2 linked regions of the Mus musculus genome follow. The protein of the gene in region 2 purifies or fractionates together with the protein of the main gene of each other region. This does not show direct contact. Links are inferred from orthologs where the notes say so. Each region holds a gene or a part of one and is shown on either strand. Other genes may lie near its edges.

Evidence for each region.
Region 1: the proteins of Otub1 (region 2) and Ube2e3 purify together in Homo sapiens (affinity purification with mass spectrometry; 3 studies listed by BioGRID and IntAct, counting the BioPlex papers as one, with this or other methods). This does not show direct contact. The link is inferred for Mus musculus from reciprocal best matches to the Homo sapiens genes OTUB1 and UBE2E3.

Annotation. Positions count from the first base shown.
Region 1 is NC_000068.7:78,867,918-78,871,820, reverse strand, and holds the start of Ube2e3 (ubiquitin-conjugating enzyme E2 E3), read right to left. Parts: upstream 2,775-3,903; 5' UTR 2,416-2,774; intron 2,144-2,415; exon of another isoform or gene 1,803-2,143; intron 1,365-1,802; 5' UTR 1,337-1,364; coding exon 1,143-1,336; intron 1-1,142. UniProt on the Homo sapiens protein: Accepts ubiquitin from the E1 complex and catalyzes its covalent attachment to other proteins. In vitro catalyzes 'Lys-11'- and 'Lys-48'-, as well as 'Lys-63'-linked polyubiquitination.
Region 2 is NC_000085.6:7,203,421-7,207,245, forward strand, and holds the start of Otub1 (ubiquitin thioesterase OTUB1), read right to left. Parts: upstream 2,865-3,825; 5' UTR 2,840-2,864; coding exon 2,782-2,839; intron 1,032-2,781; coding exon 970-1,031; intron 737-969; coding exon 638-736; intron 1-637. UniProt on the Homo sapiens protein: Hydrolase that can specifically remove 'Lys-48'-linked conjugated ubiquitin from proteins and plays an important regulatory role at the level of protein turnover by preventing degradation.

The sequences.
Region 1 (3,903 bases), on a different chromosome or scaffold from region 2:
ATAAATATGTAGGCTGAAGTATAAGCAAAAGTCAACTGGCTGGTTTTCTTCAAATTCAGGGCATTTTTCAAAACTGAGAGCGTGCTTAATACGTTCCTCCAGGAGAGTGCAACAAACTGGACACTTCAGATTATTTCAAAGGCTGTTCCTGGTTAATAAAATACTCTAAAGCTGCTAGCACTTCAGCGATGGTTTAGATCCAGACAAAAAGTTTGAATCACAATAAAAATGTAACATATGATCAGTCTTTACATTTTTCTTCCTCCATTTATGTCCAATAAAAACCAATGAAACACCTGTCCTGGGTAAGGCAGGCACATTTCACCTTAATCACTAGTTTCTCTAGGTATCCCAACACTGCTACCACTTGGAGCCCCATTGACAGGATCTGTTCAGTCACCACAGAAAATAGAAGTCAACAGAGAAGAACTGATCTCTCACTTGGACTCAGAAATGTTCCCCCTGTTGTTAACCTGCCAAGCTCATCCACAATGCTGGAGCTACGCAGAGGAAGGCCGAGGGTGTTTTCAGTCACTGGGTGACACCTAAACTGTAACAGCTACTTCCGAGTTGTATCTGCCCTCACGAGGAGGTGGGATAGCAGTAACTCACTCAGTCACACCTGTGCCACATGATTTAAAGTCCTCTTCTTACAGATTGTAAGCCAATTTAAAGCACACATTAAGAACTGCTTCCCACTAGAGCCAAGCCTGGAGTTTACCAATTTTCTGGTAAATATTGTTATTTCTGACAATTCCGTTTTCTGGAGAGAAGCTCTGCTGATCTCTAGAACTGTCAACTTCACTCACACATGACTCACAGAAGGAAACCTCTCCTACAAGCCATTTCACTGGGACTCACCAGATTTCCCTTGCCAAGCCCTTCATCTGTCAGAATGAGTGCCCAGCTCTTCTTGAGGCCATCCTCGAGTCACCACAGCACAGAACAAAGTCTGCTGGCTTTAGAGTCGATAGTTGCAGGGAAACTGCGTGGCTATACCACACACAGAATGACAGCCCACTCAAGTTCACATACGTTTGATGGAGAACTATTTCTGAACTATTGCCACTGAAGTTAAGCCAGCAAAAGCCACCAATGGGAAGGGGACCTGACCGTGTGAGTCCTCCCCTTGTAGACATTACCTTTTAGCACTAGTGGATAACTTAGCAGTCGTTTTGCTAGAGAGTTTGGTGTTTTTCTTCTGCTGGGTGGCAGAAGGTTTTCTTTCTTCCTGTTCCTCGGGCTCTGGAGCGGCAGGGTCTCGCTGATCTGCATCTGAACTGCCACTGCTGGTGCTAGGGCTCTCATCATCCGACCTTTGCCTGTCACTGGACATCTTGGTGAACTTATCTCTGGGAAAACTTCTAAGGAGAGAAGAGACCCATGGAGAAACATTAGATCTTTAAAAAAAAATAGCAGCATGCACTTCTCAATAAGCACCTTTGAGAGTATTTTATTGAAAAGGATTCGAAAGTCCCTGTACTTAGGGTGCAGCACGTTACAGGGAATCTGATACGTATCATAATTTATAATGCAGGCGTTGAGGGATTTACCAAAATGCAAGTTGGAAAACCCACTCACATTTTTTTCCCATCCCTTGGACAATCTATCAATTGTCTACTTTCTCAGAAGGCATGAAACAGATTTGCCAGGGAACTTGGGCAACGGGCATTAATAACATATGACAACTGTAAATAACAGATCTCGCCGAGAATGTTCAGAAGTCACTAATACCGTCTAAATATTTACAGGCTGACACCGGTCTGAGCGATCAAATCCTCCTTCCCAGAGGAAAAACATACCCCGTTAGTCGCCCATATGCTTATTTACGGTGACGGGGTCCTCCCGTGCGCACCGAAAGCCTTTGAACACAGCACTCGAATTTAAAAAAAAAAAAAAAATCAACTGGCAGCCGCCCCACAGCCGTCCCCACGGCCGGCGGCGAGGATTCACCGGGCCGAGCCCGAGCTGCCACCCGGGGAAGGGCAGGCTCCAAACTGCACCTTCTGCAAAGCTCCCGGTGCCATCGACGTTCCCCGCTCAATTCCTCCCTCACCGACCGACATTTTGTTATTTTAAAAAAAAAAAAAAAAATCCGCAAAGCGGCCAAAACCCCGAGGGCAAAACAAACAAACAAACAAAAGCCCTCCCCCACCCCCCACCCCCAGAAGTGCAACAAATTGGCGCGGCCCGCCCCGGGGCGAGCACTGGGCCACGCAGCTCCGCGGTCCTTTGTGGGGAGGGCCGCGCAGGGGACCGCGCCACTGCGCCCGCCCGCCGGGGGATGCGGGACCCGCCGCCCCGCGCCGCTGACTGACTAGCGCGGCGGACTGAGGAGCGCGGCGCCCGGCGCGAACAAAGCTGCCGCCCCCGCCCCCGCCGCCCCCCACGCGGGCCCCGGCCCCGCCGCCTTACCTCGGCCGCCCGCCCGGCCCGCTCGTGCGCCGCTACGCTGTGGGGGAGGGAGAGCGCCGAGGAACCTTCCTTGAGGAAATGGAGGCAGCCTGGGGGGGGCACCGGGGGGGCGGGAAAAGAAGCCGCCGCCGAGGCTCCGGCCCGGGAGTGTGGAACATCGAAAGTCGCAGGCGGCCGTGCAGTGCCGCGCTGCGGCCGGAGGGTGGCGCCGCCCCGCGCTCCGGGAGCCACGGTGGGGTGGGCGCTCTGCCGGCCGAAGGCGAAGGCGCAGGGACGCGGGAGCCCCCCGCGCGCTCAGCCTCCCGCCGCTGCGCTCGGCTCGGCTCGGCTCGGCTCCTCCCGGTCGCGCAGTCAGCAAGTTCCGAGCGAGCGGGCGGGCGGGGGAGGGGCGGGCGCGGCGGCGCGCGTGCTCGCTGCTTGCCTGGCGGAGGGGGCGCGAGCGGCTCCCGCGCGCCCCCGCGCGAGCGCGCTCCCGCTGCGCCTTCTTTTTTTTTTTTTTTCCGCCGGGTGGGGGGTGGCGGGCGGGGGGTGGCGGAGGTTGGGGAGCTGGGGGGCGGGGGGGCAGATGCGCACGCGTCCGCCCGCGCGCGGCCGGGACAAAGAGCGCGGCGGGGACCGGCGGGCTGGCCCCTGCGCCCTTGGCCGCCGAGCTCGTACTGGAAGAGGAGGACGAGGAGGCGGGGGCGGGGGCGCGGTCTCGCGGGGCCGCGGGTGGCTTCCGGCCTGAGCCCGCCTCCGGGCCGACGCTGCCCAGTGGACTACCCGCCCCTGAGGTTAGGGGCCGGCGGTTACCCCGGGAATCCCGTACCTGAGCGAGAACCCTGGCGCGTGACTGGGGCTTCCCCGGTGCCCCGAGAGGCAGGCGATGAATGGTGTTATTGAGGAGGCCAGGCACGCAGGCAAAGGAAAGCTGCTTCTGGCCCCTCTGAGCTGAAGGAAGTAGCAAGGTAGAGTCCTGGGCTTCTGAGCGAGGTGAATAGGATTTTGAGACCAGGGGACCTACCTCGGCTAATCTCTGGCTCCCGTCCTGCAATGGCGCTGCCAAAAGGGGACTGCCCTCTGGACGCTTTGGAAACTTACAAAATCCCAAACTGTGTTTTAAATGTCCCGCTCAAGATGTAAAAAGTGGAGTGAGGAAGTTTAGGGGCAATAACCCGATGTGTCTGGCGGCGGGCTCTGCTTTGCGAGAGAGAGAGAGAGAGAGAGAGAGAGAGAGAGAGAGAGAGAGAGAGAGAGAGAGAGAGAGAGAGAGAGAGAGAGACCACTTCTGGATAGAGAAGCCATGGAGGGACTGACTCTATATGACACTGTCCTCATTAAAAGTTTTAGATAGGAATCAGGAAGGTTGCTGGTTTACTCCTGCCTTGCTTTTTGCGGAATCTTCCAAGTGGAGTCCAGTTTTGCCCCAAGCACAAAATAGACAGAAGTCCAGAAACTTCCTGTTTGCCGCTCCTGAGACCATGTTCCAGTGATGGAACCTCGAAGGAA
Region 2 (3,825 bases):
CTGAAGGCCCCACTTGCGAGCAGAGGACATGAACACCTATGATCTTTGGAGGAAGACTGAAGTACACCATTTCTTAACTCTTCAGGCTGCCTACTAAATACTGTTTCATCCCAGGGTCACAGTTCAAGCTCCGCTGCTCCCAGCTTTTGGGCTTACTGGGAAAGAAGCTTGCCTCAGTTTGAGTGATGCAGCAGAGACACACAGAAGAAGCCTGTTCTCCGCAAAGATCAAAGTAGACAGACTACAGGACAGGTCTCTGTGACCAATCTACCCATCCCAACACCAGCAAGTTTGGCCCCTGGCAGGCTACTGAGTTGTCAGTGCCCGCCCAGCCTGCACCTGGTCCCACCTGAGCATCACCTACCTCAACCTTACAGCCACCCTACAGGCAGATGCTTTCACTGTCCCTATTTTACAGATGAGGACACCCAGGGCTCAGAGACACTGAAGGACCTGTCAAGAAGACAGCTGCTGAGTGGTAATCTGATATGAATGAGGTCTCAGTCCAGAGGCCACACTTCAAGAACTAGCAATAGGAGGTGTGTCCCCGCCCAACACCCGACCCTCTCAGACATTAGGCCTGACAAGAAGCAGGGCTGAAACAGGCTCCCTCCTGCCCCTCTGGCCAGGATCCCACCTTGATCTTCTGTTGGTAGATGTTGTCATCCTCAGCATACTCCTTGTACAGGACTGAGAGTTCCAGCCGCTCTGACACCAGAGGATTCTGCACAGCAATCTGCAGGGAGGCAGGAGACTGAGGAAGCCACGCCTAACACCTACAAACGGGGTGGTGGCCATCCAGCAGCACAGCAACCCCACAAAAGCATAGAGTGCCTAAAGTAGACTCAGAGACTTGAGAGACTCGAGAGGGGAGGGCTTCAAAACAGACACTAGGTCTCAGGCCCTGACTATGCATCCCCACCACAAAGCCCTCAGCTACTCCCTCCCCAACTTTCTTCGGCACCTCACCTCTTGCTGAATTCGGTCCTGCTGAGCCATAATGGCTTCATCATAGGCCAAACAGTTAACACCTAGAAAAAGGAGAAAAAAGAAGTGCCAACCAAGGGTTCCTATGGGGTCTGGCTATCTCTATGGCAGGCAGCTTTGGCAGAACAGGTCTGGAATCTGGAACCCTATGCCTTACACCCCACTGTGTATTCTTAGCAAAGTTCTTCCTTCTTTGAGTTCTCATTTCCTCATCTTTTGGAGAAAGTAGCTAAGTGTGGTGTCATTTGGGAGGCTGAGGCAGGAAGACCACAAGTCTATATAGCTAATCTCTAAAAAAATAAAAGTAAACAAGGGAGCAATTACAGACCAGAGCAGGATTAAGAAGCCTAGGAGTTAGAGATCAGCTCTGGAAATATAGCAAGCCTTTATCTTGGAAGAAAAAAAAAATAGGGCTGGGCTTGAGACCCAGTGGTAAAGATATATTTGTCCTGCAGGTGTGAAGCCCTAGCAACCTCAAGAAATAAGTAAATATAAATATAAATAAATAAGTAAAATGACAAGTAAAGATCACCCCCAAAGCTCTCTTGCAGCCCCGATATTCCTTCCTCCCTGCCTTCTAAAAGCACTGTGTAGCATCTAGGGAATGCTCTGGGGAAGGGAGCTCTGGGAGAAAGCAGGATGAAGGGGTGGAGCCCTAGGAAGAATGAGTGCATCCTGTAAGCATGCACTTTACTGAGACACGCCCTTTGTCCTTCTGTGGTCCCCTGTATTGTTCATTTTCCAAATTAAAAAACAAAAAACAAAAACCAGAGGTAACTCCATCTTGTCCAAGGTCAAGTCCACATTTGTAAAATTCCAGTCTGAGCTCTTGGACATGTCACTTGCCAAAGTCCTCTCCCCTCACCTCTAGAATGGATTAATGCCATCACCTTGCTCCCATCATCAAAATATGCTGGGATCCTGCCAGCAGCAACTACTACCTAAGCACTCTCTAGAGTCATCCACGGATTCGGGACGTTCGTTCTGAGGACTCTAAGCAGCTATTGTAGGAGTTTCTAGTCTTGGATCCTTCTTAGATGTGATGGAGAACAATTTCTTTCTGCGTATCTGGGTTTCCTAGTCCTCAACCTCTAGAATATAGTGTGGAGTTAGAGTAGGGTGTGCGAGTATGACTGGCTTTTTAAAGCCAATCCTTTGGGGCCTGGTTATCCTAGGTTCTCAGCTGAGCTTCCCACCATGTCCTACAACAGGACTGTCCCTCCCACTCAACAGACTTACTCAACCCCTAGAGCTCAAGTTCTCGGGAGACAGGGAGAAGGTGTGACTGGTTTCTGTCTTTTTTTAAAGACCAAGAATCTAGGAAAACAATGCCTGGATCCGCTCAAAGGTGCTGTAAGGCCAGCACAAGCTCTAAGGCAAAGAGCCGCCAATGGCATCCCGAACGGCCCAGCAGGGACTTCGTCCTTGGAAGCCCGGCGTTCCTCAACGCCTTTCAGCAGCTCGGCCCCGGCCTAGGCCTCGGCTTGACTGCTAGGTCTCCGGCGGGCTGACTGTGGGAGCCGGCCGAGGCCACGGGACCGGCGGAGGCGGGGCGGCCCAGGCCCCGCCCCAGGCGTGCGCGAGAGGCCGAGCCCCGGCCCCGGCCGCCCCGCCCGGCCGGGGGTCGCCGCGGCCCTGCTTCCATTGTGAGGGGGAGGGGAGGAGACGCGGGGAAGGGCTCGGTCGCACGCTGCGCCTACTCCCCAGGGCCCTGACTCCCCGAGTTCCTCGGGAACGGCGGGCCGTGGATTGCCCCCGCTAGCCCGGGAAGGACATCCTTCCCTCCGTTCGTACCTTCGGAGTCGCTACCCAGTGGCTCCTGCTTCTGCTGCTGAGGTTCCTCCGCCGCCATCTTTAAACAGCGCCGCACTGGCGATCGCTTCCGGGTTATTAATTGCCCTCCTCCCGGAAGGGAGCCCCTCCTTGTGGCCCCTCCTTCGCAACGCCCCTAGCAACAGGCTCCCTTTGGCAGTCGTCAGGGCCTGGGCTGCTCCTGCTGCCCTGGAGAGCTTGGGGGGACGCCACGCGCGCTTCCACATTCCACTTTCCCAAAGGTCCTGCGGGGCTAAGGACCTCCTCGAGTCATTTCTGTTTTCTGTATACTGAAGTTTGAAACGCAGGTTGTGTAACTAAGATAAGGAACAAGATGGAATTAAAGTCACTAGAAGGTTAATCCCAGCTGCGCGTACTTTCAAGGTACAGGACGGTAGCTGCAGTGCGGAGCGCAGAGCCACCTCGAGACAGGAAGTGGTGACAACCTCCTGACGCCCTTCGGAGCCTTCGCGGCCTCTCGCCTCTCACCACTGAGCCTGTTCTCTAAAGCTGTAAAGACCTGTTTCCAGCACGGGGAGCATCTTCCCTTGATACCAAAACCAAAACCCTCGACCTAACTTTAGGCTATATGTCCTCGTATTTGAGAAAGCAGAGCCACTTAAAAGCAAGAATTTGAGTCCATAATCCGAACATGTGAAAGGTGGAGAAAGAATGGAGGATCCGGCGTTCAAGGTAATCGTGGAGTTTCAGGCAAGGCTTGGCTACAAGAGACCCTGTCTCAAACAGACCAGACCAAACCAAACAAAACCTGAGCCAAAAAGTGGCCATCTTTGCTAATTTTTGCCGAAGCTACCCATTTTCTTTGAGTTATGTCTCCATTCTGAGAAATGGACATTCCCATTTGCAGGCCCTGTGTACCCTGAAAAGCAAACACCAGAGCGTTTGCAGGAAAAGGCATTTACTTCTTGGTAGCCTGGCTATAGCCATCACTGAGCCACACAGATTCCTTTTACCCTCCAGAATATCAGTTCTCTGTCCTTACTAGTCCCAACTCCAGCTCCTGTA